4 linked regions of the Lonchura striata genome follow. The protein of the gene in region 1 interacts with the protein of each later gene in a biochemical or structural test. Links are inferred from orthologs where the notes say so. Each region holds a gene or a part of one and is shown on either strand. Other genes may lie near its edges.

Region 1 (7,756 bases):
CACTGAGTTTAAGGATACTGGAAGAGGTTTTTTTGGAGGAGACTTCCACATGACCAGAGTAGTCCTTGCAGCTTCTTTCAGGTGTTTTTAAAGGTCTGTAAAAGCTCCGAGTTGTCAGCCAATGAGTTGGGCAGCAGACATGGATGCCTTGATAGCATCTTGCTGCTGGAATTTAAACTGGCATCAGCTGGAGTTACTGCAGTTACTGATATGAATACCAAATGTGGAGAGGTTTCCTCCTTCAGAGCTGAGCTGGCTTGTCACTATGAATGGCAGCCTCCTACTCAGCTGATAACAGTGCTCAGGTTGCATTTGGATTACTTGACCCTTCTCATGGTAAAGAATCTATGGAAAAAGAAGATAGGACACCAGCTAGGAGCTGCAAGGGTCCAGTGACTGTCACAGGAGCCATGTTTGGTCCCAGCCTTAGACTTGCAGATGGGAAATCATCAGGGAAGAGGCTCAGAGGCCTGGCAGACCTTGGAACTCACTTTGGGTGTGAGCTGCAGCAGGGGGCAAAGGTCTGGTTTAGTCCTTTGCCAGAGCAGGGTCTGTGGGGTGTCCCTGTGAGAGGCTGTGGAGGAAATTCTCCACACCAGCTCCTGCTGGAGGGGCTGGATTCCAGGGGAACATCCCCCTGAGCAGTCCTGGCTTGTTGCTGTTCCAAGCAGGCCATTTAATTTCAGTGAGCTCTACCACTGCAGCCACTTTTATTTCCTTTTGCTTCTGGTGTCTGAGCCCAAAGGCTTGGCTGCTTTTGTGTGGGCTGCAGGGACACTGCAGCTTTAGGGTGCTGCAAGGAGCAGGAGTTCTGTTACAGTCAAACTGAGATTAACAGGATTTTTAAAGCAAGAATAAAACAGAGTTGCTGTAAAAAGCTTAGGTTTATTCAAATGCAGACACTATAAGTAATTTCTGTCATTTTCCTCCTAGGAGAGCATAAACCTGGAGCCCCAGACTGGCCAAGATGGGCTGTATGATTTCTCAGTGGAGAAACAAGACTTCAACTTCTGAAGATGAAGCATGACACAGCTCTAAACTGGTGGGTGGAGGTACTTTGGAAGAGCTCAGACATCCAAATTGTCAGGAGTAGAGATGTTGAGCCTTTTTACTTCTGAAACTTGTCAATAAATTGCACTTTTTGGCTTTGTTCCTTTTGCCTTTAATTATTTCCCCCCTTCTTTAAGCTGCTGTTGCAAATGACATGGCTTGTTTTGTTTTTTTTTTTTCCAGTAGCATCTTAAGGTCTTGCAGGAGTGTTTTGGAGCCCCTGATCAAGTTTTCTGGGTGGGATCTTTCTTCTGAGCTGTAGGAGAGCAGCATGCTGCCATCTGATCTTTGTTCTGAAACTTCTAGACTTGACTTGGAGTGGCTGAAGTAGCTCTAAAAAACTGTTTGAGAGATGTTTCACCTTTCTGCAGGCACCATCATTGCTGTGGGAAAGGAGCTGAGCCAGGCCCAGGTGGATCAGTGGCCTTGCTGTGTTACTTCACCTGGAAGATGTGGATGTGGGAGCTGCTGAGTAGATGCTGCTCCTTTGGAAGGGAGGTTGTTGGAGGCAGTGCAGGGGCAATGATTCACCTCTGCTGCAGCTTCCCTGTTGCCATCCATCAGCCTGCAGCCCATCGATCTGGCTCTGCTCTTTAATTCCAAGGACCTGTATTTCAGGTTTCCGTGGTGTGTCCCTGGCTCTTGTTCTCCTTCTCTCTAAGCCCTCCAAGTGTGGTCTCCAGCAGAAGGTGAGGATGGAGTTGAGCCCATGGCACAAAGGTTTTGTGCTGTGGGTTCTCAATGAGCTGCTGGCCACTGCTCCATCCTTGCAGTGTTGGTGGTTCCCAGCAGACCCTTCCCCAATCCTTTGCTACCCAGAGCTTGAAGCAGCTCAAAGGCTTTGCTGAAGGCAAGGTGAGGGAGCAGCTTTCCCTCCCTGCTTTGGGGGTTTGGCTCTTCAAAGTGTCCCTGGGTGGGCTCAGGGCTCTGCTGCCTCAGGGGCAGTGGGAGGTGATGTGACAGCTTAATCTGGAGGGGAAATCTCCTCTTCAGGAAACAGAGGCTCTTCCTCTTCCCTGGATCTGTTCATCAGAGGATTTATGCATTTCTCCTGCAGGCCACCCAGGGAAAAGGGAGTTGGTAGTAAATGTGTTCTCTGGGAGGAGCTGGGCAGCCCCGCTTATGGGTAACAGGGCTTAGTATCATTTATTTAATATTCAAATACTGGGATCTGATGAAATGCAAAGTGCTTCTTACATCCAGAACTATGGACTTAGACATGATACAGCACTGCCTGAACATGCACCTGAGCCAGGGCTGCTGCTGCCTGGGCTCTGTGGGCTTCCCACTGCTGATGGGGCACCTGGGAATGGCCACAGCTCCCTGGGCACAAGGAATGTGAGGAAGCTCTTTCCTCAGACACAGAGCTAGGGCCTGTGTGCCTGCCCCGAGTTTGGATTTTGGTCCTCTGTGGACCAGCCCTGTTGGCTTTTCCCATGGCCCAGGCAGGGCTGCTCTTTGCTGATGATCTGATTAAGAGAGAAATAGGAAATATCTTGGTTTCTTTTTCTGGCATGTGCTGGACATAAATCTGTGGTGGGTGGTGTTACACAGAGCCAGGGGCCCAGAGCTGTTCCTTTCCATCCTTGTGTCTGTAACTTAACAAAATATTGTCCTGAAGGCAGAGGCCAGGACAACATGCCCCTCCTAAAAAGAGTGTTGGGACGTGCCTGCTGTCTCCCCTGGCAGCTGAAGAACTGGGCCCAGTGCCTGGGGATCACCAAGGCTCTGTGTGGGTGTGTGAGCGACCTGCAGGCAGCTGCTTGCCTGGCCTGGGGCGCTGCCCTCCCCTGCCAGCCCCAGGCACAGGCAGCAGCTCTGGGGCAATTCCAGCTGGGGGGCAGTGCAGGCATCCCCTCCTCCCAGGGGGATGGGATGGGACACCAGTGAAAGGGGCATGATGATGCTGTCCTTCCTCAGGGCAGCTCAACCTCCCTCCTGTCATGCACAAAAAAAAGTAGTTTTTCTAATTAAAACCTTCCCCAGAGGAGCAGGTGGAGGATCATTGAGGCTGGGAAAGACCTCCACAATCTCCCACTGACTTCCATCAGCTTCTACCCCTTTAGTGCCACCTCTGCTCCCTGGAACATTCTCAGGAGTGGGGACTGCTTGAGCAGTCAATAAATCTTTTCGAACATCTAACCCTGTCACAACCTGGGGCTTTTTCCTTTGTGTTGGCACTTGGGAGAAGAGTCCATTCCCCACCTGGCACCCTCCCATCAGGGAGTTGTAGACAGTGAGAAGGTGCTGTCCCTTTTCTGGAGATGGAACAGGCACTGCCCCCGCCTGTAGTGGTGTTTACCCCAAATTAAGACTCCTTTATTCCTATGCTACTTTCAGGCATCCCTGTGCTCCCTCTGTGTCCCCCCATACATCCTCCATGCCACTGTGAGAGCCCCTATTCACCCCCAGGCACCCTGTCACCCTCCTGCTACCCTGCATGTTGCCCCTGTTCCACCCCTGAGATCACCTATTCATCCCTAAAGGGATCCTATTTGTCCCTTTTCATCCCAGGACAGCCCTAGGCACCCCAATTCCTCCCATTCCACCTCTATTTGCCCCTATGCTGTTCCTCAGGTATCCCCCATCACCCTTTCCCCCCACATCCTGCTCTTATTCTGCTCAATTCCCCCATTATTATCCTCTATTCTCCCATTCCTTTTCCCTCATTTCCCCTCTATTCCCCCATTCCATTCCTTTTCCCCCATTCCCTCTATTCCCCTGTTTTCCCATCCCTATTCCTGAATTCCCCCTCTATTCCCCCATTCCCCCACCCCATCCCTATTCCTGAATTCCCCCCTATTCCCCCATCCCATTCCTTTTCCCATGTTCTCCCTCTATTCCCCCATTCCCCCCCTATTCCCCCATTTCCCCATCCCATTCCTTTTCCCGTCCCCCCTCTATTCCCCCATTTCCCCACTCCCATTCCTGAATTCCCCCTCTATTCCCCATCCCTACTCCCCAATTCCCCTTCTACTCCCCCATTCCCGAATTCCCCCTCTATTCCCCCCATTTCTCCATCCCCATTCCTGAATTCCTGCTCTATTCCCCATTCCCCATCCCTACTCCCTAATTCCCCCTCTATTCCCCCATCCCTATTTCCTCACCCCATCCCTACTCCCTAATTCCCCCTCTATTCCCCCATCCCTATTTCCCCACCCCATCCCTGCTCCCCAATTCCCCCTCTATTCCCCATTCCCCCATCCCAACCCATCCCTGCTCCCCAATTCCCCCTCTATTCCCCCATCCCTATTTCCTCACCCCATCCCTATTTCCTCGCCCCATCCCTGCTCCCCAATTCCCCCTCTATTCCCCCATCCCTATTTCCCCATCCCTACTCCCTAATTCCCCCTCTATTCCCCCATCCCTATTCCCCCACCCCATCCCTGCTCCCCAATTCCCCCTCTATTTCCCCACCCCATCCCTGCTCCCCAATTCCCCCTCTATTCCCCCACCCCATTCCCGTTCCGCCATTCCCGAATTCCCCGTTCCCCCGCGCTCTCCCCTTCGCCAGGGGGCGCTCCCCGGACCCCTCCCGCGCATGCGCCACACCCCGACCTTCCCCGCCCGACCTTCCCCTCATGGCGTCCGGCCGCGGCCGCGCCGCTGTGCGCGCTGACGTCACCGCCCTCCGCCGTGCGCGGGGGCGTGGCGGGGGCGTGGCCACGGCGCTCCGCGGCCGGGCCGGGCGGGCGCGGCGGCGGCTGGGGCTGAGGCGGCGGCTGAGGGCGCCGAGCCTGCGGCGGCCACCGGAACACGGATCCGGGCATTCCCGGCATCGTGAGAAGCGGGCGGGCTCGCATGGCGGGGCTGCGCGGGGCCGCCGGTTGAGCTCGGCGCCGCCGCCGCGTCCTCCTTCTCCTCCTCCTCCTCCTGCTCCAGGCGCGATGTCGAATCCCGGTACCCGCCGGAACGGATCCAGCATCAAGATCCGCCTCACAGGTAACGGGGCGGCAGCAGCGGCGTGTGTGTGTGTGGTGTGTGTGGCCGCACACCCCGGGCTGGGCCCGGGGTCCCCTCCCCTCCATCCCCTCCATCCCCTCCCCTGGCTGTGAGGGGAGGACCGGCCGGGCCCGAGCTCCCAGCCTCGCTTAACTTTTATCCACCGTTTTTCTGTTCCGCTTCTCCCTCTGTGGCCCGACAGAGCCTCTCTGCGCTTTTGTGTATTTCTATTTTTTCCCGCCCCTCCGGCGTGAGGTGGCTGAGCCCCCTTGGGGTGACATAAATGTGAGGAGGGCGGGGGTTTGTCACTGTGTCCCCCTCGTTCTCCAGCAGCTCAGGGCACGCTTCTCCTTCCTGGGGGCTTTCCTGCACCCTCCCCCATGGATGTGGCACTCACCACCCCTCCAGCACCCTGACCCTAGATGGGTCCCTCCTGCACTCCCGATGGAACATCCCTGTTGATAACGCTCCCCTGCATTCTGCCCAATTTTGGGATCTCTTCTGCACCTTCCCTGGCCCTGGGCATCCTTGTGACACCTTTCCCCCTTCCCAGCTCTTTCCCAGGATTTTCCCTGTTCCCTCTCCCATGGGGTATCCCTGTGCTGCTCTTCCCTGGGGTCTCCTCTTCACCATTCCCAGCAGGATTCCCAGGGCCACCTCTCCCACTCACTGGTTTTCAGCACAGCCTGTCATAATTTGCCTTACTTCACTTTAATTAACAACCCCCCCAACCTCCTGTGTGCCAAAGAGGATAACTCAGTTGCTAATGAGAAAATACCCTTTTAGTTGCTTTTAGCTGGATGGTTTTGTGTAGTTTTTTTTTTGTTTTGTTTTGTTTTTTTTTGTTTTGTTTTGTTTTGTTTTTTTTTAGTGTGTTTCTTTAATTTTGCTTCCTTCCTCTCAGCTTGTTTTTACCTGGCACATTGTGGCATTCACCTTTGGAAGTTCCTTCCCTGTGCAGGAGGTGACACCCAGAACTGTGTCTGTCCTGCCTCTGTGTGAGGCCTCTGGAGGGTTCATGGATGGATAAACCAATTTATGTTGGACCCTGAAAGATCTGGATTAAGTCTTTTGGAAGCTGCTCTGGTCGAAGCCGAGCCTGCTTCTTTAATGAGAAGCTGTTGGGAAGTTGAGACTGCTGTGTGAATTATTAAAAAATAAGGTCTAATCCATTCTTTCAAAGGCAACAAGTGGATGTTTGGAGGTCAGTTGGGCTGGAGAAGCCACAGTGCAGCACTGGGTGACCAGAATTGGTCTCTGGAGAGGGATCTTCTGTGTGTGGGTGCATAAAACATTGTCAAATAATGAGAAAACGGTGCTGGTGAAACTGCACTTACAGGTTAACTTGCTCCTGGCACACAACACACTCAGAGGCAGATCATCAAAAAATAAAAATCCTGGTGTTCTTTTAATCCTTTGATTCTGCACCGCTTGTGCTTCAGAAGACCAAAGTTTGTGAGGATAATGTAAATCTGAAAATCCCTTTCTTGGATGGGAGAAGGCTGGAAATATTTTTAGGTTGTATGAATGATGTTTGATCTGAAATGAGTTTTGTGGTGATGTATACCAAATGTCAGCTCAGTCCTTAATGTGGCTTATTTTTATGCAAGTCAGTCAATAAAAATGTGAGTTAAGTAACTTAGGCCATGGTCATAGCCCTTCTGAGCTGGAGGAGATAATTTAAATAACAGAGAGAAGCTGTTGAGTTTAATTTTAAAGGCTGAATGCTGCAGCAAAATGCTTTTTTACTTTTAGCATACACTAGTCTTCTCTCTGGGCTGGGAATGTTTCCTGGAACAGACTGAAGTTTCAGTTCATTGAGCAACTTGGTAGATTTATTTTTTATTACTCCCCATTTTTAACTGCATCGAAGAAATCTCCTCCTTACTCAAACACATCTTCTATTTTTACAAGCAGGAAACCTGGGTGATGTGACAAAAACTGCTGTATTTAATCAACAAATAAATTGCTCTGGGAGAAGTTTAGTTCTGGAATCGTTGGGCAATGCTGAGTTCTTGGCTGGGACTGGGGTGCTGACTTACCTGTCTCAAATAGCTGCAGCCAGCCTGGCTGTTGTTTTCTCATCTCCTCGGCTCTTGGGAGATTTGAGCACATTTAAATCAAGACAGAGGACCTCGTTTGTTATGATTTACTACCTGCATTGTGTTTCCTGTGATTAGGCACCGTTGAAGTTTTGCAGTGAAAATAGCAGTGTAAATACCACTTAGTATGCCTGTCAGTGTCATTGGGTGAATGGCAAGGGAACAGTGGTTAAATCTTCTGTGATTTTTTTTAATCATAATTTTTTCCTCATTTGTTCTAAAGGTATTTACAGTAGCGGAGTGTTGGGGTTATTTATGTGAATATAAGCAAAAGTTCTCAATCTGCTGATGATTAGCAGAAGTGGTCTCCCAGCTTATACAGAATGTGTAAGGATGTCAGTCCTAGCCTGATGCAAATTGTAATGAAGTAAAATGGCAAATAATGCACCCTGTGCAGAAATACTAAAAACCTCAATGTAACAATGAGTTGCATGACAGGTTAAAATGGCTTTGTGGCCTGTTGATCTCAAATATGCTAATCTCCTGTCATATCTCAGTTTCTCCTCTCCTTTTCACTAAAGCCTTTACCCCAGCTGGTGATGCAAGAGCCAGACAGTTTTAGGCAAAGTAAGAGAAAACTTTCTGTTAAATCTATGGTCTCTTCCTATCTGTGCTGCCATCAGGGCAGCGCAGCAGTGGCAGAATTGCCAGCACAAGGATGG
Region 2 (8,054 bases), on another chromosome or scaffold:
AGTTTTAAACAGCTCGATTCCTTTGAATATTCTTCTGGTGTTATTTTTCTGGACCATCCCCAGCTTGCTCTCACCATCACATCATCAGCACAGAAACATGCAGTGTTCTCATTCTTCTAAATCAGTGATTTTCAGCTATTTCCAGAATATGACCTCACATTACAAGAGCACTTTCTGGAGTCTGACACCTGCTACTAAGCTCAGAAAAAAGTTGGCCCTTGCGTCTTCAAAGCTGTCTGCAACAACGAGACCAATTTCCTATGGACAACAGAGAAGTTGGACCATGGAATTGGGATAGAACATGTAGTTCAGAAATAGGATGAATCTGACATCACAGTGACATCCTTACATGTCCCATAATCCTGTGATCACTATGAGTTTTTTTCTTTGATGAAGACTGGCTTCAAATTAGCCATGAAGAAAATTTGTCTTCCTTTCCTAAAGGTTTACTCCCTTCCCTCCATTTGTTTTATATACCATACTATTAGTCAAACATGGAGATTTCTGGGTGAATTCCTCAATGTTCTGTTCTGCATGGTCCCAGTTTTTCATAGGGTTTTTCAGTGCCCAGCCCAAGCACTGCCTTCCAAGCATGGTCCTTTTGGTGGTCTCTGGCAGTTGGGTGGGACACATGCTCACTTCAGGACAGTGAGGAGATCTGACATGCAGCCTCACATAAGCATCTCACTCAACATAATCGTCTGCTGACACAGTCATGAGCTGTGTCATCCAGCAATAGAAGGACCCAACGTCCACAATAACTGTGCACTGAAAACTTGCATTTGTGGCTCCATGGCCAAAACCACAGGAAAACTATTTTTAGCACAACGCAGCTCTAAATAGTGGAAGCACTGAAAATTTAGCTCACATCATGGGCCAAATTCTTCCCCTGGTTACACCCACTCTATGGAGAAGCTTCAGTATAGTAAACAGACACACTCTGAAACAGAAATTAATTTTTTTTTTTAAGTTTTGCTTATGAGCAAAATAAGTATTTTAAACTTTAAATGAAGAAGGGTATGCATCCTCCAGCATTTCCTCTGGAAATAAATGAAAGGAGAAAAGAATGGTTTGAAATAGAAGCTCTCTATTATAGTAACTGTATCTGTTGTGATAAAGGTAATTCTTCCCACCTGTATGTATAAACCATACCCAGAGCTGACATCTCTCAATTCATTACACAGCCACTTTTGGCCTAGACCAGTGAAAAGAACACGCAGTTTATCTGCACCTTGAAAGAAGGCAACACAGATGAGTGTAACCTATGAGTAACAAATCAGGTTTTAATAGCTAGACCTACACTTAATTACTCACAAGCCAACTTTCTAACAGCCGTTTTATCACCTCAGGATTTCCCAACACAAAACAAATTAGTGATGGCAGTGCAGAGCACTCAGGCTTTCTCATGTAGGAACTGACACGACCTGACTTTCTCCTTCTGGGTGTAATTCCAACGGAGTCACCAAGTTACAGGGTGCTGAGCCTTTATAACTTGCATTTAAATTTTGTGGCACACTTAGGGACACAATTTTGTTTTCCAGCCTCATGACCAAACAGTTGGGTTTAGTAATTTCCTCTACCATATCAAGATCTGCATATACAAACATAATAATGTCTATTGTAAATGAAAGTGCTTTTGGGCATAGTGTAGGAAGGCTTTTGGACAGTGTGCTGAAAGCTATTTGCTTTCTCTTACCAAAATTTCCACTGATTTTTTTTTTTTTTTTTTTTTTTTTGGGAGAAGTGGGAACTGGACCATCTTCTAAACCCAAAAGTTCTTGGAAAAGCCAGTAAGATGAGAAAATCATAAAACAGTAATATAGTAATGATAATGTTATTTCTCACTATCTTATTGTTGATGAGTCTTCTTGCACTCTTTAAGCACTGCCCTATGACATATGTTTTAAAAGGAAGTACAGGAAGGAAAATCAAAAGGAAAACAACACATTTTCAATTTGGTTACATTTTTTTTCTAATCTGATACAAATTAGTACTGATGTTGTCTAAGTATCTTCATATGTAATACTGTAAAGGGCAAAAAATAAATTCATAAATGCTCCAGCTGCTTAGCCTGGCCCCGTGTAAGGCACTGCCACTAAAATAGTTCACAACCGTAATTACAATTCGCCACATCTTGGGAATGACATTTAGGATTCTCGAGGCGCTTTCAGATAATTTTTAGACTACACGTAGAAGTTCAGCTGTCACAAAGTCAGTTTTATTTTGTAACAGATTTTATCCTTTGGAATGTTATGTTTGGAGTGAGCTGAAGATATGGAAAAATACATGCAATGTAGTTCGCTTACCCGACTGAAATAAAAGCTGAAACTTTTTTTCTCCTTAATGTTCATATTCCAGCCTGTGCTTGTCCGCAGCTATTTAGATTTGGAAGTGGGGGTGATGGGGGGGCAGGAGAAAAAACTCCCCTACTGCACTATTCTGACTCCATTAGTGGAGGCAACAAGAATTCCTGCTCCCTCTCCAGTAATTAAATAAATATTTAACATTGCGGGATTTAATTGGAATCCCGAAAGTTAACAATAGCCTGAGCTATCGGTGTCGCTATCTCAGGGGTTCTGCTTTCGCAAGGGTATATTTAGATCTCGGCCACATCGCCCACTTGCATTGCGAATAGTACAACCTCTCTCCTAAAAAAAAAAAAATAAAGAAAGAAAGAAAGAAAGAAAGAAAGAAAAAAAACAACTAAGAAGCTCGGTAGAATCTGGAAACTTTTATAAAGTGACGCCGTCTCCGCGGATCTCCTTCCCTGCTGCACAACGTACTTGAAAGCGGAGCAAATGCAGTGGCCGGCAGGCTCGCGAAAAAAAAAAAAAAAAAAAAAAAAAAAAAAAAAAAAACCACAAAAAAAAACCCCAAAAAAACCCCAACAAAACAAACAAACAAAAAAACCCCAAACCCGAAAACCAACCAAAAACCAAACCAAAACAAGCCGAAGGAACACAGCATTACCTTCCAGCACTTAGTGCAGCTCCACTCTCTGCCCCCGTGCAGGGACCGCGGCCCCGCTCCCGGCTCGGGGCAGAGCCCCGCGAGGGCCCCGGCTCGGGGCAGCGCCCCGCGAGGGCCCCGGCCCGGCGGGACGGGCGGGACGGCCCCGAGCTGCCGCCGGACAGTCCGCAGCCCGCTCTGCAAACTTGCTGCAAAACTCGTGTGTCGGGTCTTTCTCTGCTTCCTTCTTCCATCCTGCAATGCCGCCCTTCGCTCCGATGCAACGCAGCCATGTTCTGTGCTGTGCCTGTGCTACAATCCCTGGATTTTGCCGGGGTAAATCCTGGCTTTGCCCCAGAGCACGCTGATCCCTTTTGGTGGTTAATTTATCTGCTTTATAAAAAGGGAACTACAATCACGGTGTATTGATTCTTTGCATTAAGTCTCTCTGCACAAGAAGAATATGCACTGAATAGAATATGAACTCTGCACGATCTGAGTTTTTAATGGATATAAATGTGTATATGCATATATAATACATATAAATACATATGTATACACATATTTAACGTATTCACATGCTATGTCTGGGCTCACATCAACACACACACCTCAAAATTGGAAAGTTTAATTAGGATATTGGTGCTTTTCAAGTAAAAATTATAAAGTATCTTTATACCAGGCCTATGTTTGCATTTTACTACTCTGTATGTATAAACAAGATGGCAGAAATGGAGAGTAACATTTTTAAATGAGAATACAGGTTTCCAAAAGACAGGTTGTTCTCTGTGTAGCTACTGAGCTAAACACCATTAAAACAGATTAGTCTTGTTGACAACAGAGCTCACAGAGGTTCCAAAGTCCAATTAACAGGAACATTTTAACCCCCTAGAAGAACCACTTAAAACAGAACATCGAATTTATGCAATTAGATGCTTGCAGAATCAAAACATTTCCTATTAAAAAAATGAAATTATTATGATTATGGCTAATCATTATCCCTTGCTCTTCATGAAGATGACTAGAGCTGTGAATGACCAGCTCAACCCTCTCATACCCCAGTTTGGGAGAAACTTTGTGTCTCCCTCACACTGCAAGCTCGAGTTCCCCTGCCAGAATATCAACGTTCTGACAAGATTTGAGCCAGCAGTGGAAAGGAAGGTTAAAGCCCCCTGTGAGGTGTTGGCTTGTCAAAGTCAGATTTTGCAGATTACTGCTGCCTTTCTTTGAACGATTCAGCCAGAGTATGAGGAAGATAATATTCTTCTTGATCTATTCATCCTGGGTTTCTTAAAAGGCTCTTGGCAATGTCTCCCACTTGTCTCAGAGAAGATTATCTGCTAGGGAAGAGGAGGTAATGGTCTCCTGAAGGGTATAACCACTCAAAAGAAAGGCAGCAAAGAGTGGTGGTTTCTGGTTCCTTTCCACAGCAAAGGAAGTGGAATTTGGCAGGGAAAAGTGCCCATTGGTGCACACCATCATTGTGTCACTGGGTGAGCTGGAGAAGGCACTGAGATGAACTGTGGATAACAAAGTCATGTATGAAAGGGAAGATGAGGACTTGGTGTGAAGAATTGAAGGACGACTTTCCCATACTGAGTGGGAAATAAAAGGTAGATGAAATCCAGTCTAGATATAAATGCAAAGTAGCACATGTGGAGGTGAAGTAACATCCAAGATTACATGATCTAACATCACCCACTAGCTATGTTTTGTAATAGTTCAGTGCAGGTATTGGATGAATTTTTGATCACCAAGGAATGCACTGGACATCAGGAATTGCAACAAAAGCAATAGCAAAAAAGAAAAGATTGATTCCATGCTGGGAATTCTGGTGCACCTGCATCAGAGGTTCCAGACAGAGGGACAGTTCTCCATCTCAAGGAGATCTGCTACATCTGGTACAAGTACAGACAAGGCCAAAAGGAGTGGTCTGAAGATCAGATGGGTCCCATGCAGAGCATGCCTAAATATTCTCTTCCATCTGGAAAAGAAACAGCTGAAAAGAGACATTAAAGACACCTGCAGAAAGCCCAAATTGAAAAGGTGAAAGAAAAGCCTTTGTCTTCAAATTCTGGAGGAAGAAAGGTTAGCTGCAGGCTTTTGAAAAGAAGAAGATGGTTCTTCACTCAAAGTATAATAAGAAGTTTGAATTTCTGCCACCAAACATTGTGGCTACTAATGGTTTACATTAATTCAAAAATCAAAACTGGTAACAGAGCAAATTCACAAAAGCAAAGCCTGTTAAGAGTCATTAGGTACAAGACACTGGTCTCTGGCTCTGGAAGTCCCATGGTTGTAAACTGGATTCCATGGGGAGGATTCCATGCCATCACTGTTTTCCCAGCACTTGCACTCTTCCTCTGGGCATCCCTGTTGTGGCTGCTGTCCAGCACACTGAGCTGGACAGGCCTTTGATCCCACCTGCAACCACCTCGTATTCTTCACATGTCAGCAGAACTGTTTTTCATTCTGGAGCTCATCTCTCACAGCAGTCATATTTTATTGTCAATAATATCACAAATTCTGGCCTTGTAAATTGGTAATTCTGGTCTTAAATTTTTGTAAGTTGTGTGATACCCCAATTCTGCCTCTCCACCATTCTACAAATATTTTACATCTACCTAAATTACACATATAAACACACCTGTTAATAGGAGTAAAAGTCTTCTATTCAAAAACTGTGAAATTGTTTTTCTTTATGTACCACTCTAGCTTTCTCAATAGACTCAGAAGCAAAGATTCCAAAAAGTCAGGAATGAGTTTACACTCTGAATTTTGAGTTTACAACTCAAAAATGCATCAATTATTCTAATCTAGATTAAGAAACTATTATTAAGAATTCCACATTAAAGGTAATTTCAATAGAAACCTCAAATTAGTGAAGCTTCAGTACGGTAAAGCATGATTATGAGGGCTCATAGTCCAGTTGCAGATACTGAGTGAACCCTGTTGCACCTTTGCATCCACATTTTTGTATCACTATGTACAATAATGAAAGTTGTGTTTTGAAACAGGCATCTGGTCTTTGCCAGTGATACCAGGGCTGTGTAATAATGAGAAACTTCCCTTCATGCCAAACAAGAAAAAAAAAAAAAAAGGATTTTTTTCATTTTCTCTGAGGAGAAAATGGTAGCAGGCAGAACAGTAATTTGTCATTTGAAAAGTTTTGTTTGATGGAAGAAAAATCCTTTTGAAACAGTAGTGCCAGTGAGGAACATCTAATGGAAAAAGCAACTTCCAAAACTTGATTTTTGACAATGACGAAATGGGATTGCTGCTGAACTTCTCCTTTTGTCCATTCTCCTCCTTCTCTAAACTAGCAGTAAAATACAATGTATTTCATGAGGTACTTTGACAAATTTGTATAGAGCAGTGGAAGAGGGGTAGGCCAGAGATTCTTTGGTCCAACTCAAAAGAATGGAAACCTACTTGAGGAATATTTAGTTATTACACTTTCTAAGAGGAAAGCATTTGCATTGCTATTAGAAATACAAAGAAAATTAAGTTCAGCTAGAAAATACCACATGTCCAAAATCAGTCAGATATATCAGTGGCAATTTCAGGGCTCAAGATTTTAATTCAGGCCCCAGTTTTGATTCCAAAGACTGCTCTGATGCAGAGGATCTTGGGTGTATAAACACAGAGCAGTTATAGTTGTTCTGCAGTTTCCACTACCCCTAAATACTGACATTTTGGGGTTTTGTAGAGCAAGGAGGTTTTTCCATTCTAGATTGCCAAAGAACTGTTTCTGAGAAAGCCACACAATTCAACTTGAAATAAGCTCTTTCCTGCCTTTCTTACACACAGCTCATCACACCCAGATTTTAGTATTTGTGTTCTTGTTTCAAACCTACTCTTCTAATTTATTGTATGAGCAATGTCTTGCTTTTCGTGCTGTTGAAGTGATTTCTTGGGAAAATTCTGGGTTTAGTGCCAGGTATTTTTAGTAGGATAGTTGGAACTGCTGATAGAAGGCTATAAACTTTAGTTTTAAGAAAATAATGATTAGTGCTTACATTTAAGCATAAGAATAATCTCCCATTTATTCAGTGAAGTATTTATGGCTGTGCTTTACTTTAAGCCCACTTTTAAATTCAATTAACTTAATTTTAATAATGGACTTAAGTGCTCTGCTCTCTCAGGATAATAAGAGCATTGGCATTTCATTTAGCTGGCTGAGCTTGTTTTTAAGTAAATTTTGTACTCTCAAGCACAAACTGACAAACATGCAAATAAGAGTTACCTTTTTGCCTAAAGACAGAAAATGATAAACCAAGTCATTTTCCAGTCCACGAGGGGAAACACCTAGGCAAGGAATAGATTTTCATTTCCCTGATACTATCGTTTTAATTGTCTGGAAGTGGAACACTGCCTTGCAAGGAGGCTTTGTGCCATCTTTGATCTCCTTCTGTACTTGAGCAAAGAGAGACATAAGTGTTGTTTTCCATTGAAATGAAGAACATTTGTTTGCTTGTTTTCTAGACAAAAGCAAATGTCTTTGAGACACTGTGGGCCATAGCTCCACTTGATATAAATTGGCACATCTCTTTCATTCCAGGGGAATTACACTAATTTTACACCTCAGAGTACATCTCGGAGACTTTCCACCTCATGTATGGACTTGAATAGAGATATTCTGTATCATGAGGTGAGATCATAATATGCAAGTGTTTCACAGACATAAAGCTATGAGGTCTGGGAATGCTTGACAGTAGCTAGTAAATACAGTATGGTCTAGTCATTAAGTGGGACCAATTGTTTATAAGCAGAATAAACAAGTTGGTAGGCAGAGCCAAAATGCAATTTTCTTTACCATGGCACTCCTAATTAACAGCTTTTCCCCACTGAAGCAATAAAATGAAAAATTATGGTTTTATTAAGTCTTATGTAGCTCAAAAAAAGCCCTTTTAAATGTCATTAACACTTGATCTGTTCACCAGAGAAGTAGAAAAAGAAGTAAAAGAATAATTGAAAAATTTGAGCATAAAACAGCTTACAGAACTGACAAGGCTATTTCTGATGCAAATTGTGAACTGGCCTAAAACAATGCCAATTTTACCACCATTCAATGTTAAAGGAAATAAATTGTGTTATGTTGTCAT
Region 3 (6,827 bases), on another chromosome or scaffold:
GCAGGACTTTGTGTGCCATGAGAGGACATGTGGCTCCCTCAGCATGTTATGCCACAGCAGGCTATGTACTTACTTGCCTACTTATTGACAGAAAGGAGAAAGATTGCCTTCCCCACTGAGCTTTCATACTTTTGGTACAGATTTACACCTGAACACAATGTATCTGAGTTACAGACATGCCCTTTAGAAAATCTGCTTAGAAGAAGAGCAGGGGGGGAATATAAGCTGGAAAAAAAATCTCCAGTAATTGACAGGAATTGTCTTCTCAACTAAAAAATGCCACTTGGATTAAATAAATGAATAAATAAATAAATAAATAAACAACAAAATCTGAGTTTTAATCTCAAAACCATCCCCACAAGCAATAAAAACAAACAAGTGGTGTCTTCCTTCTTTGTCCTACTTCATGCTTTCTTCCTCAATCATACAGAAGTATATGGTGCAGCAGAACTAACAGTATGCTTAGAGTGCACATTTTGCACTAGAACAGCTAACTAGAGGTGAAGATTCAGCTTGCATAAAGAACTACAGTTTATATCATGCAGATTCATGCAGAAAATATAAAAGCTACAATGTCAGTTAAAATTCAGCCCTAAAATACATAAGCTGGATATATTCACTAATTACAGATGTGTAATAACCACAATGACTTAGATGTTCCCCCTAGAGGCTGTTGCTGGAGTGTACCCCAGGACAGTGAAAGGAGTGTGATCTCAGCTTGAGTTGGTCACAGGGCTGAGTCTCATGATATAAAGTTTCTGGAAAAAAATACTTATAAAGCATTTGAAAGCCTTGGTCAAGGTGTTACATAGCCTTTGCTGAAGTCTGTCTTGCAAGGTGAGAGATGAAACATCAGGCACTTTGCTTTCAGTGCAACTGTGTGGAAAACTAGAGATGTGAGACTTGAAAATTAAGCATGAGCCATTAAGTCATGGCTCAGACCATAAGTGGGTGCTGCAAATATATATATACTGCTCAGTTACAAGAAAAAATCATGCTATGGACTTAACTTGAGCTAGCTGGACATTTCTGGAGTAATTCCTTTGCACAGTTTGGAAGCTGGAATCAGCAGACAATTTGGATGAGGTCACCCTGCTTGGCAACCTTTAAAGAGGTAAGCAGCACTCTGGGCAACAATAGAGCCGTGTGCTTTGAAATGAATAAACTGCTTATTTATCTGCCTTCGGTGGCACAGCACAGATGAGTCAATACACGTAACTGCTCATTTGCATTATTCCTTCTTCTATTTAATAAAACATTTTGCTCCTGAAAGGACAAAACCAAACACCCAGGCATGATTCAAAATACAAGCGGAATCAGAAGTATATTTAAGCAGCACCTCTCAGGCCAGGTGAAGCAGTCGCAGCTTCTCCTGCTGCCGCCGCAGAGGTGGGTTTTTCCAGCGGTGGGTTTTTCCAGCGGAGGGTTTTCCAGCGGAGGGTTTTCCAGCTGCGGAGCCGCACGGAGCAGGCGCAGGGCGGTGCAGGGCGCGGAGCTGCCGCGAGGGGGCGCTGGGGCCCCGCCGTCGGCGCGGCGCGGCCGGGCGGCGCGGGGGGAGCGGCGAGCCGGGGATTCCATGGAACGGGAATCCGCCGCAAATCCCCCCGCCCGCCTCTCCCAGCGGCCTTCCCCGCCTGGGACTGCGGAGAAAATAGCTGCAAGCTGCCCGAGCACCATCCCCCCGTGCCAGGAGGACATGGCAGCAGGGGGGTGATTTCCACGCAGTTTGAGAAGAATTGAAGCCTGTGAGCAGTGACAACGGATTTAAAGGGATGATGCAAGCCAGAAATTTGGCTCGCTGGAAGGCCATAGGTACTGAAGAACATCCATGTCTATGTCTACACTTTATTGCTGAATTCTTTAAAAAAATCAGTTTGAATTTATTATGTTCATATAAAATATGCTGTACAAACCTATGTATGATCAAGGCACAAACTCATCCGTCAGCATCCAGGAACATGCTCTTTTGACTGGGAGAAATGGGTATTACAAAAATCTCACAGAAAATGAATTTTATTTCAATGTCTAGGATTAAACGAACCTTTTGCCCTATTGACACACACCCCTCTGTAACAGTCTGCTGCAAGTAACTTGTCAGGCAATTTGATGTACTCAGTGATGCATTCGCTCTCCAAGTGGGTATTTTAAAATGCAACTTTTAATAACAACAGTATTGTACAAACCACTCATTTTTGTTCCATACCCTAATGCCAGTACTGGCTGGGAAAACGGGACACTTCGAATCAAACCCCGAGAGGCAGTAGCCACAAGACATCTGCGCCTGTGCTGGCAGGGAAGAAGTTTGGGACACCACCCGGCTGAGCAGCGGCAGCTGCAACAGGGACCGAGCGCGTCGCTGCCGGCGGTGTCCGTGTGTGCCCCGGCACTGCGGCCACCCCAGCGCGCCCGGCCCGGCCCGGCTCGGCCCAGCTCAGCCCAGCCCGGCCCGGCCCGGCTCAGCCCAGCCCGGCCCGGCTCGGCTCAGCCCAGCCCGGCCCAGCTCAGCCCAGCCAGCTCCTCCTGTGAAGGGACTCGCATCCTGCCCTCCCAGCAACCCCTCACTACAGGGCTTTGCGCCCCTTTATTCTCCACGTTCATTTTTTCCTTGCTGTGACTTCCGATATCCCTGTAAACTGAGACCCAAAGGCCAATTCAGTTCAAGCCTGCTGCTTCTCCCGCTTTGCAATTCCTCTGCTCCCTTTTGGCCAAAAGCTGGCGAGAGTCGAATATGATTAATTTCTTAAGGAAGGGTGTCGAGCGCTTTTCCAGGAGCGCCCAGCGGACGCTTTTATTTTATTCACCCGCCTGCAATGCTCTCTGTTCACTTTGCCCCTGGGACGCAGCGGCGCTCCCCGCTCCTCTCGGTGCCCGCCCAGCCTCTTCACTCAGGCCGTCCCGAGCGGCGAGCCTGCGGCGGGGACCGGCCCTGCCTGCCCCGGCGACAACCGGGATCCCCGGGCCGGGAGGGCTCACCCGGGACAGGCTCACCCGGGACAGGCTCGCACCGGGACAGGCTCACCCGGGACAGGCTCACCCCGGGACAAGCTCGCACCGGGACAGGCTCACCCCGGGACAGGCTCACACCGGGACAGGCTCACCCCGGGACAGGCTCACCCCGGGACAAGCTCGCACCGGGACAGGCTCACCCCGGGACAGGCTCACCCCGGGACAGGCTCGCTCCGGGACAGGCTCACCCGGGACAGGCTCGCACCGAGACAGGCTCACACAGGGACAGGCTCGCACCGGGACAGGTTCGCACCGGGGACAAGCTCACACCGGGCTCGCACCGGGACAGGCTCACACCGAGACAGGCTCGCACCGGGACAGGCTCACCCGGGACAGGCTCACACCGGGACAGGCTCACACCGGGACAGGCTCACACCGGGACAGGCTCGCACCGGGACGGGCTCACACCGGGACAGGCTCGCCCCGGGACAGGCTCACCCCGGGACAGGCTCGCACCGGGACAGGTTGACACCGGGACAGGCTCAAACCGGGACAGGCTCGCCCCGGGACAGGCTCACCCCGGGACAGGCTCGCACCGGGACAGGCTCACCCGGGACAGGCGCACCCGGGACAGGCTCACCCGGGACAGGCTCGCACCGGGACAGGCTCACACCGGGACAGGCTCGCACCGGGCTCGCACCGGGACAGGCTCGCACCGGGGACACGGAGCCCCGGCCGCCCCAGCGCGGCTCCGCCCGCCGCCACCCCGGGCGCGCTGCCCCGGCCCGGCCCGGCCGCTCCCGGCCCGGCCGCTCCCCCCCGCCTCGGCCCCGCCCCCCGCCCGCGGCCGCCCGCCAATCGCAGCGCTCTCCGCCGGGGATGACCTCACTCCTTGCCTTCCCATTGGCCAGCTATATTAAGAAAGCCGCGAGCGCCTTTAAATAGCGGCGCCGGGCCGCAGCTTGCGGCAGTGGCTGCGCGGAGCGGGTCCCGTTCGTGTCTGTGCAGTGAGGCGAGAACCGGCGGCACCGCTCCCACCGCAGAGCTCCGGGGCCGGCGGCGCTGCCCTGCGGCCGTAGCGCTCCCGCGAGGCAGGATACGGCGGCGCGGTGCCGGTGAGCGGAGAGAGCAGGGCGCGCCCGCCTGCCTGCGCGGGCCGGCTCGCCACGGTGCCCTGTGAGAAGCGAGAGGGAGCGGGAGGCGGCGGCCGCGGGGAGGAGGGCGCTGCCATCGTCCTGCTGCACGGCAAGGCCAGCTTGGCGAGCCTGGCCATGGCTGCCATCCGCAAGAAGCTGGTGGTGGTGGGGGACGGTGCCTGTGGCAAGACTTGCCTCCTCATCGTCTTCAGCAAGGACGAGTTCCCTGAGGTCTACGTGCCCACCGTCTTTGAAAACTACGTGGCGGACATAGAGGTGGACGGCAAGCAGGTGGAGCTGGCCCTGTGGGACACGGCTGGCCAGGAGGACTATGACCGCCTGCGTCCCCTTTCCTACCCGGACACCGATGTCATCCTCATGTGCTTCTCCGTGGACAGCCCGGACTCGCTGGAGAACATCCCGGAGAAGTGGGTGCCCGAAGTGAAGCACTTCTGCCCCAACGTCCCCATCATCCTGGTGGCCAACAAGAAGGACCTGCGGAACGACGAGCACGTGCGGAACGAGCTGGCCCGCATGAAGCAGGAGCCGGTGCGCACCGAGGACGGCCGGGCCATGGCCATCCGCATCCAGGCCTACGACTACCTGGAGTGCTCGGCCAAGACCAAGGAGGGTGTCCGGGAGGTCTTCGAGACTGCCACCCGGGCAGCCCTGCAGAAGCGCTACGGCACCCAGAACGGCTGCATCAACTGCTGCAAAGTCCTATAGGGCGTGTCTGGAGCGCGGCGCTGGGCACAGCGCCCGGGTCACCTGTTGGCAGGTGCAGAGGAGCTGGGTTATACGCACACGGCATCTGCCTGTCCCCTCCGCTAGGGACTGGCTGTGCATGGGGTGGGGGCTAAGGGAGGGAGCACGCTCCTTGAGCCTTGGCCAAAAAGGGTTGTGCTTGCTCAGCCGCGGGGACGGAGGGAGGGGGGGATTGCATGCCCTGAATCTTGGGAATAAAGTGGGGAGAAGCCTTCTCCTACCGCTGGCCCCTGCGAGTTAGTCGTGGACTCAACGACAAAAAGCTGCTGAGACTGGACTGAGCAAACCTTGCACCCGGTTCTGCCCCTTTGCCAACACCTGCTGCTTCCTGCTCCCGGGCAGCCTCCTCTCTTTTGCAAGAGGAGGGCGGTGGAGCTGAGATGCTCGAAGGGACTTCTGCCTCCTGCCTGCATGTGCCTCCACCCAGGCGAGCTGGGGAAAGGGGCTGCCTCTCCCAGGCTGCCTGCAGCATCCTTGCTTCTCCCTCACATGTTTCAGCCTGAGCCTGACCTGCTGTGGAAGTTAGCGCCCTGAAGACCGAGACTGGGAGGGGAGGGGAGGGTCATCCCAAGCAAAGCCTGTATATATGTTACCTTTTTTGTCTTGTGCAAACTGGGGTAGTACAGGGGGTGCTTATTTAAAGTGAGGTGGGGAGGGGGTGCCCAGGTGGGACTTGTGTTGTGCAAAGGAACTTGCCCTGAGTGACTGATGCCTGCTGATAACAGGAGCCATGAACTGACTCCAGCTGCAGAAGCCACCAGGCCAGAAAGTAAAGCTGAACTGTCCTGCTTGCTGGATATCCACCTCCTGACAGATGAGGCAGGATGAGCAAGGGGATGATATTGCCATATTATGATTTTGGTGCCTGCTCCTTACTTTTGATGTTGTCTCCTGCAAGTGTGTTGATTTGGGTTTATTTAAAAGTTTATTTTCAAAAGATGTTACTTTGCACAACTCGGTGGAGTTTTTAATGTTTAAATTAAACACTCAATGCGCTCATCTGCATACAACACTGTAGCATTGGAAACATTCTTACTCGGTAACCTCATCTGGGTCTTGTTTAAAACTGATTTCAACACAAGACAAAATAAAACCACTGTATTATTTTTGCCTTGGAAAAAAAAAAAAAAGGGTGAAAGCACTGTTACTTATGCAGTGAGTACATCAGACTTTAGTACTAAAGGGCAGTTTAAAGAATCAAGGTTTATTTAAAACTTATTTTCACAAGGTGGCCAGCCTGGGTGAAAATAATTTTCTGTTTCTCTGGTTCAGAGAACAAATGTATCCATTTATGTTTGTTTACTTTATTCCCTCTTCCCTCAACAGTGGTACTGAGACTGTTTTTAATAAACTGACATGGCAAAAACTGAGATGTATATGATGTTTACATAAAACTATAGTGTATGCAGTTTTTTATGTAAAGTATTAAAAGATTCTATGCTGACACTTGTGAGACCAGTGTTGTGATTCATGGAGACTGTCCTCTGGATATTATTGAACTAGACCAGAGTTTGCCCCTTGCCTACACATGCTTTTATTTGGCTTTTTTCCACTGGGTGAAACACCTATCTGGCAGCTTTTAGAGGATGGTGGTTTTAGTTCCCTTTGGGGGAGCTGCTTCCTTAGTTTTTTTTCAGTGCATGGTATATGGAAATGTATTGAAAAGTCAAGGTGGTGACTGATCCATCCTTGTTGCTGTTGACCACGGGCAGCCTCTGTGGCTCCTGCCTGGGCTCCGGTGAGCTGGTGTTGCAGCAGAACGGGCACAAAACTGAAAAGCAGCACCAGCAGTAAGGATTATTTGTCAAGGAAGTATTTAGATAAAAGCAGTTTTTTTAGCGGTCTCCCCTTTGCTTGGAGCGCATGGCCCTGCTTCCTGCAGCAGCGCATGGGAGCAAACACTGCTCTCTGTTGAACCAGCATCTCCAAAGCTGCCGGGATGGATTTCCCGATTGTGGCCTCATTAATTCCCATGGCAAC
Region 4 (7,531 bases), on another chromosome or scaffold:
GGAAACTGAGGCACGGCGGGGACACGGGGGAAACTGAGGCACGGCGGGGACACCAAGGGAAACTGAGGCACAGCAGGGACACTGAGGGAAACTGAGGCACGGTGGGGACACTGAGGCACGGCGGGGACACCGGGGGAAACTGAGGCACAGCGGGGACACTGAGGGGACATTGGGGACACTGAGGGGACATTTGGGGACACAGGTGACACACATGTGACAGGGCCATGACAATCCCGTGACCCCCACCCCTGCCTGGCCCATCCCTGCCCAGGAAAGCCCAACTGGGACCAAACTGGGCCATACTGGGACCAAACTGGGCCATGCTGGGACCAGACTGGGCCATACTGGCACCAAACTGGGCCATACTGGGATCATACTGGGCCATACTGGGACCAGACTGGGCCATACTGGGACCAAACTGGGCCATACTGGGACCAGACTGGGCCATACTGGGACCAGACTGGGCCATACTGGCACCAAACTGGGCCATACTGGGATCATACTGGGCCATACTGGGACTAAACTGGGCCATGCTGGGACCATATTGGGCCATACTGGGACCATATTGGGTCATACTGGGATCATTCTGGGACCAAACTGGGACACTCACCAAGGCCTTACTGGTCCCAGTATGTGGCCGCAACTGGTCCCACTGCCAGTCCCCAGCAAGGCACTACTGGGACCAGTCTGTGACCCTTACTGGGACCAGTCTGTGACCCTTACTGGGACCAGTCCCTGCCCCTTACTGGGACCGGTCCCTGCCCCTTACTGGGACCAGTCTGTGACCCTTACTGGGACCAGTCTGTGACCCTTACTGGGACCAGTATGTGACCCTTACTGGGACCAGTCTCTGCCCCTTACTGGGACCAGTCTGTGACCCTTACTGGGACCAGTCTGTGACCCTTACTGGGACCAGTATGTGACCCTTACTGGGACCGGTCTCTGCCCTTTACTGGGAACAGTCTGTGACCCTTACTGGGACTGGTCTCTGCCCCTTACTGGGACCAGTCCCTGCCCCTTACTGGGACCAGTCTGTGCCCCTTAATGGGACCAGTATGTGACCCTTACTGGGACCAGTCCCTGCCCCTTACTGGGACCAGTCCCTGCCCCTTAATGGGACCAGTCTGTGACCCTTACTGGGACCAGTCCGTGACCCTTACTGGGACCAGTCCCTGCCCCTTACTGGGACCAGTCCGTGACCCTTACTGGGACCAGTCTCTGCCCCTTACTGGGACCAGTCCGTGACCCTTACTGGGACCAGTCTCTGCCCCTTACTGGGACCAGTCCCTGCCCCTTACTGGGACCAGTATGTGACCCTTACTGGGACCAGTCTGCACCCCTTACTGGGACCAGTATGTGACCCTTACTGGAACCAGTCTGTGCCCCTTACTGGGACCAGACCCTGCCCCTTACTGGGACCAGACCCTGCCCCTTACTGGGACCAGTCCCTGCCCCTTACTGGGACCAGACCCTGCCCCTTACTGGGACCAGTCTGTGACCCTTACTGGGACCAGTCCCTGCCCCTTACTGGGACCGGTCCCTGCCCCTTACTGGGACCAGTCTCTGCCCCATACTGGGACCAGTCTGTGACCCTTACTGGGACCAGTCTCTGCCCCTTACTGGGACCAGTCTGTGACCCTTACTGGGACCAGTCTGTGCCCCTTAATGGGACCAGTCCCTGCCCCTTACTGGGACCAGTCCCTGCCCCTTACTGGGACCAGTACCCGGAACCGGTACCGGCCCCCCCAGAACCGTTAACGGCCCTGAACTGCCGGCCCTGCTGGGACCAGTTTGGGGCCCTGACTGGGACCAGTTCCAGGCCCTTACTGGTCCCAGTTTCTGTCCCTTACTGGTCCCAGTTCCCATCCCTCACTGGTCCCAGTTTCTGTCCCTTACTGGTCCCAGTTTCTGTCCCTTACTGGTCCCAGTTTGAGGCCCTTACTGGGCCCAGTTGGTGGCCATTACTGGGCCAAGCATGTGGCTCTTACTGGTCCCAGTTCCCGTCCCTCACTGGTCCCAGTTTGAGGCCCTTACTGGTCCCAGTTTCTGTCCCTTACTGGTTCCAGTTTCCATCCCTTACTGGGACCAGCTTGCAGCCCTAACTGGCCCCAGTTTCTGACCCTCACTGGTCCCAGTTTCCATCCCTCACTGGTCCCAGTTTCCGTTCTTTACTGGTCCCAGTTCCCGTCCCTCACTGGCCCCAGTTTGAGGCCCTTACTGGGACCAGTTGGTGGCCATTACTGGGCCAAGCATATGGCTCATACTGGTCCCAGTTCCCATCCCTCACTGGTCCCAGTTTCTGTCCCTTACTGGCCCCAGTTCCAGGCCCTTACTGGCCCCACTTTGAGGCCCTTACTGGTCCCAGTTTGAGGCCCTTACTGGTCCCAGTTTCCGACCCTTACTGGTCCCAGTTCCCATCCCTCACTGGTCCCAGTTTCCAACCTTTACTGGCCCCAGTTTGAGGCCCTTACTGGTTCCAGTTCCCATCCCTTACTGGGACCAGCTTGCAGCCCGCACTGGCCCCAGTTTCTGACCCTCACTGGTCCCAGTTTCCGTTCTTTACTGGTCCCAGTTCCCGTCCCTCACTGGCCCCAGTTTCAGGCCCTTACTGGGACCAGTTCCCGTCCCTCACTGGCCTCAGTTTGAGGCCCTTACTGGGACCAGTTTCTGTCCCTTATTGGTCCCAGTTTCTGTCCCTCACTGGTCCCAGTTTCCATCCCTCACTGGTCCCAGTTTCTGTCCCTCACTGGTGCCAGTTCCCATCCCTCACTGGTCCCAGTTCCTATCCCTCACTGGTCCCAGTTCCCATCCCTCACTGGTCCCAGTTCCCGTTCCCGTTCCCGTTCCGTTCCCCCCCCGCGCACCTTTCTGGATGCGGAGCTGCGCGGCCGAGGCCTTTTTGCTGGAGCTCTTGGTGCCGCCCGCCGATTCCTCCTCCTTCTTCTGCTGCTTCAGCGAGAACAGCTTGATCATCCTGCCGAGCCGGGCCGGGCCGGGCCGGGCCGGGCGGGTCCGGGCCCCGCCGGGGCCGAGCGAGCGGGGGCCGGGCCGGGGTCGGCGGCGAGCGCTGAGGGCCGGCCGGCTCGGCAACTTCCGGAGCCGCTCGGCTCTTTCCGGAACCGCGCCGCCACCGCCTCGGCCACTTCCGGGACGGCTCCGGCGGAGCAACTTCGGCTCTTTCCGGAACCGCGCCGCGCCGCCTCGGCCACTTCCGGGACGGCTCCGACGGAGCAACTTCGGCTCTTTCCGGAACCGCTTCGGAGGCGCTTGGAAGCGTTTCGTGGCTCTGGGGACGGCCGGAGATCTCCGGAGATGGGCGAGGAGGTTCGGGACCCTCCGGAACCGCTGGGCAATGTCCCGGCGGCCGCCCCGCGGCTCTCCGGAACCGCTCGGCGGGGCTTCGGAACCTCTCGGCAAACCTCCGGAACCGCTTCGGAACCGTTGCGGGGGGGGGGCGGCGGAACCGCCTCGGGGGAACCGCTTCCGGAACCTCCGGAGATCTCCGGGGCGGGGAGGGGCTCGGGGGGGTCTCCGGAAGGGGCGGTTCGGGACGTCCTGGAACGAATCGGGCGGGCCTGAGGGCGCTTCGGCTTTTCCCGGCAGGAATTCGACTCGTTCCGGCGCTCCGACCCCGCTTCGGTTGTTTCCGGAACGCTTCGGCTCTTTCCGGGGAAAGGGGCGGGGCGCAAAGCGGCGATTCGGGCGCTCGGCTATTTCCGGAACACTTCGGCTCGCCCCGGCTCCCGGCAGCCAATCACGTGCAGGGGGCGGGGCTTGAGCCCTTTCTCCCGGTGGGCGCCGCCATGTTCCTCGTGGGCGCCGCCATCTTTGTTGGCCCGGGGCTGAACTGGGACCAGTTTCTCCTCCCAGTCCCTTTCCCGCTCAGCTCGGGGGGCGGGGATGGAAGGGGGGGCGCAGCAGAAGGGAAAATGGCGGCACAGGGGAGGAATGGGGCAGAACCCAGGAAACCCGAGCACAGAAATGGGGAAAATCCAGGAAATTCCAGCCCTGAATTTGGGGAGAATCCAGGAAATTCAAGGCCAGAAATGGGGGAGAAACCAAGAAATCCAAGCACAGAAATGGGGGAGAATCAAGGAAATCCAAGGCCTAAAATTGGGGGAAATCCAAGGCCTAAAATTGGGGTGAATCCAGGAAATCCAAGCCCTGAAACTGGGGAGATCCAGAAAATCCAAGCACTGAAATTGGGGAGAATCCAGGAAACCCAAGGCCTAAAATTGGAGAGAATCCAGGAAATTCAAGCTCAGAAATGGGGGAGAATCCAGGAAATCCAAGGCCTAAAATTGGGGGAAATCTGGGAAATCCAAGCCCTAAAACTGGTGAAAATCCCAGAAATCCAAGCCTTGGAATGGGGGAGAATCCAGGTAATCCAAGCCCTAAAATGGGGGAAAATCCCAGAAATCCAAGCCCTAAAATTGCGGAGAATCCAGGAAATCCAAACACAGAAATGGGGAAGAATCAAGGAAATCCAAGGCCTAAAATTGGGGAGAATCCAGAAAATCCAAGCACTGAAATTGGGGCAAATCCAGGAAATCCGAGTCCTAAAACTGGGGAAAATCCCAGAAATCCAAGCCTTGGAATGGGGGACAATCTAGGTAATCCAAGCCCTAAAAATGGGGAAAGTCCAGGAAATCCAAGCACAGAAATGGGGAAGAATCAAGGAAATCCAAAGCCTAAAATTGGGGAAAATCCCAGAAATCCAAGCCTTGGAATGGGGGAGAATCCAGGTAATCCAAGCCCTAAAAATGGGGAAAGTCCAGGAAATCCAAACTCTAAAACTGGAGAGAATCCAAGAAATTCAAGCACAGAAATGAGGGAGAATCCAGAAAATCCAAACTCTAAAACTGGAGAGAACCCAAGAAATCCAAGCACAGAAATGGGGAAGAATCAAGGAAATCCGAAGCCTAAAATTGGGGAGAATCCAAGAAATCCAAGCCCTGAAATGGGGGAGAATCCAGGAAACCCAAGCCCTAAAAATGGGGAAAATCCAGGAAATCCAAGCCCAGAAATGGGGGAAGAGTCCAGGAAATCTGAGCCCTAAAACTGGGTGAAATCCAGGAAATCCAAGCTCTAAAATTGGGGAAAGTCCAGGAAATCCAAGCACAGAAATGAGGGAGAATTCAGGAAATCCAAACCCTAAAACTGCAGAGAACCCAGTAAATCCAAGCCCAGAAATGGGGAAGAATCAAGGAAATCCGAAGCCCAAAATTGGGGAGAATCCAGGAAATCCAAGCACTGAAATTGGGGCAAATCCAGGAAATCCAAACTCTAAAACTGGAGAGAACCCAAGAAATTCTCGCACAGAAATGAGGGAGAATCCAGAAAATCCAAACTCTAAAAGTGGAGAGAACCCAAGAAATCCAAGCACAGAAATGGGGAAGAATCAAGGAAATCCGAAGCCTAAAATTGGGGAGAATCCAGGAAATCCAAGCCGTGAAATGGGGGAGAATCCAGGAAACCCAAGCCCTAAAAATGGGGAAAATCCAGGAAATCCAAGCCCAGAAATGGGGGAAGAGTCCAGGAAATCTGAGCCCTAAAACTGGGTGAAATCCAGAAAATCCAAACTCTAAAACTGGAGAGAACCCAAGAAATTCTAGCACAGAAATGAGGGAGAATCCAGAAAATCCAAACTCTAAAAGTGGAGAGAACCCAAGAAATCCAAGCACAGAAATGGGGAAGAATCAAGGAAATCCAAAGCCTAAAATTGGGGAGAATCCAGGAAATCCAAGCCCTAAAAATGGGGAAAATCCAGGAAATCCAAGTCCTGAAATGGGGGAAGAGTCCAGGAAATCTGAGCCCTAAAACTGGGTGAAATCCAGGAAATCCAAACTCTAAAACTGGAGAGAACCCAGTAAATCCAAGCACAGAAATGGGGAAGAATCAAGGAAATCCAAAGCCTAAAATTAGGGAGAATCCAGGAAATCCAAGCCCTGAAATGGGGTCAAATCCAGGAAATCCAAGCCCTAAAAATGGGGAAAATCCCAGAAATCCAAGCCTTGGCATGGGGGAGAATCTAGGTAATCCAAGCCCTAAAAATGGGGAAAATCCAGGAAATTCAAGCCCAGAAATGGGGGGAAGAGTCCAGGAAATCTGAGCCCTAAAACTGGGTGAAATCCAGGAAATCCAAGCTCTAAAATTGGGGAAAGTCCAGGAAATCCAAGCACAGAAATGAGGGAGAATTCAGGAAATCCAAACCCTAAAACTGCAGAGAACCCAGTAAATCCAAGCCCAGAAATGGGGAAGAATCAAGGAAATCCAAAGCCCAAAATTGGGGAGAATCCAGAAAATCCAAGCACTGAAATTGGGGCAAATCCAGGAAATCCAAACTCTAAAACTGGAGAGAACCCAAGAAATTCTCACACAGAAATGAGGGAGAATCCAGAAAATCCAAACTCTAAAAGTTGGAGAGAACCCAAGAAATCCAAGCACAGAAATGGGGAAGAATCAAGGAAATCCGAAGCCTAAAATTGGGGAGAATCCAGGAAATCCAAGCCCTGAAATGGGGTCAAATCCAGGAAATCCAAGCCCTGGAACTGGGGCAAATCCCAGAAATCCAGGTGAAATCCCAGAAATCCAGGTGAAATCCAGCCCTGAAACGAGGCAGGACCCAGGAGACCGAGGCAGGAGTTTATTTTCCCACGTGACCCCAGGAAAAGGGGGGACAGGGACACCCCCACATCCCGGGGGGCTCTGGGGGGAACCCGAACCCCTGGGGGGGCAAACGGGGGTGCTGGGAGGGCTTTCACCCCCCGGGAGGGGCCATCAGGAGCCTGGAGGCACCTCCAGGGCTTCCTCGGGATCCACCAGGAGCCGGGAGAACTTCTGGTCCCCGAAGACGGCGCTGAGGCGGCTCTCGAGGAAGCGCTGCAGCCCCAGGATGGACTGGACATCCGCCTTGTCCTGGGGTGGGGGAAGGAGAGAATTCCAGCGGGGCTGGACCCCCGAGGAGCCCCGGAAGAGCCCCCGGGGGCTGCCCGACCTCGGTGAGGCGGTGGAACTGGCGCAGCAGGCGCCAGCCGTCGCGGGCAAACTCCTCGGGGCTGCGGTAGTGCGGGCTCAGCTTCTCCTGCAGCCGCGCCCGCATCAGCGTCAGGTCCATGGCGTCGCGGCCGTCCTGCGGGACCGGCGGCGCGGTCAGCGGGCGCAGCCGGGCGGATCCCAGCCCTGAGCGCACCCCTGATCCTGATCCCACCCCCTGATCCCACCCCTGATCCTGATCCGTCCTCTGATCCCACCCCTGATCCTGATCCCACCCCTGATCCTGATCCGTCCTCTGATCCCACCCCTGATCCTGATCCGTCCTCTGATCCCACCCCCTGATCCTGATCCCACCCCGATCCTGATCCGTCCTCTGATCCCACCCCCTGATCCTGATCCATCCTCTGATCCCACCCCCTGATCCTGATCCCACCCCCTGATCCTGATCCCACCCTGATCCTGATCCATCCTCTGATCCCACCCCTGATCCTGATCCGTCCTCTGATCCCACCCCTGATCCTGATCCCACCCCGAT

The links.
Region 2: of the proteins of SMURF1 (region 1) and SMAD5, one has a biochemical effect on the other in vitro, tested with the Homo sapiens proteins (3 studies listed by BioGRID, with this or other methods). The link is inferred for Lonchura striata from reciprocal best matches to the Homo sapiens genes SMURF1 and SMAD5.
Region 3: the proteins of SMURF1 (region 1) and RHOB form a complex in vitro, tested with the Homo sapiens proteins (2 studies listed by BioGRID and IntAct, with this or other methods). The link is inferred for Lonchura striata from reciprocal best matches to the Homo sapiens genes SMURF1 and RHOB.
Region 4: the proteins of SMURF1 (region 1) and UBE2M form a complex in vitro, tested with the Homo sapiens proteins (2 studies listed by BioGRID). The link is inferred for Lonchura striata from reciprocal best matches to the Homo sapiens genes SMURF1 and UBE2M.

The regions. Positions count from the first base shown.
Region 1 is NC_134618.1:14,830,720-14,838,475, reverse strand, and holds the start of SMURF1 (E3 ubiquitin-protein ligase SMURF1), read left to right. Parts: upstream 1-4,747; 5' UTR 4,748-4,937; coding exon 4,938-4,992; intron 4,993-7,756. Other genes in the region: KPNA7 (importin subunit alpha-8), read left to right, coding at 934-1,014. UniProt on the Homo sapiens protein: E3 ubiquitin-protein ligase that acts as a negative regulator of BMP signaling pathway. Mediates ubiquitination and degradation of SMAD1 and SMAD5, 2 receptor-regulated SMADs specific for the BMP pathway.
Region 2 is NC_134617.1:8,677,387-8,685,440, forward strand, and holds the start of SMAD5 (mothers against decapentaplegic homolog 5), read right to left. Parts: upstream 3,085-8,054; 5' UTR 2,971-3,084; intron 1-2,970. UniProt on the Homo sapiens protein: Transcriptional regulator that plays a role in various cellular processes including embryonic development, cell differentiation, angiogenesis and tissue homeostasis.
Region 3 is NC_134605.1:104,397,436-104,404,262, forward strand, and holds RHOB (rho-related GTP-binding protein RhoB), read left to right. Parts: upstream 1-3,922; 5' UTR 3,923-4,217; coding exon 4,218-4,808; 3' UTR 4,809-6,291; downstream 6,292-6,827. UniProt on the Homo sapiens protein: Mediates apoptosis in neoplastically transformed cells after DNA damage. Not essential for development but affects cell adhesion and growth factor signaling in transformed cells. Plays a negative role in tumorigenesis as deletion causes tumor formation.
Region 4 is NC_134640.1:1,406,101-1,413,631, forward strand, and holds the start of UBE2M (NEDD8-conjugating enzyme Ubc12), read right to left. Parts: upstream 3,041-7,531; 5' UTR 2,974-3,040; coding exon 2,865-2,973; intron 1-2,864. Other genes in the region: TRIM28 (transcription intermediary factor 1-beta), read right to left, coding at 6,781-6,918, 6,998-7,132.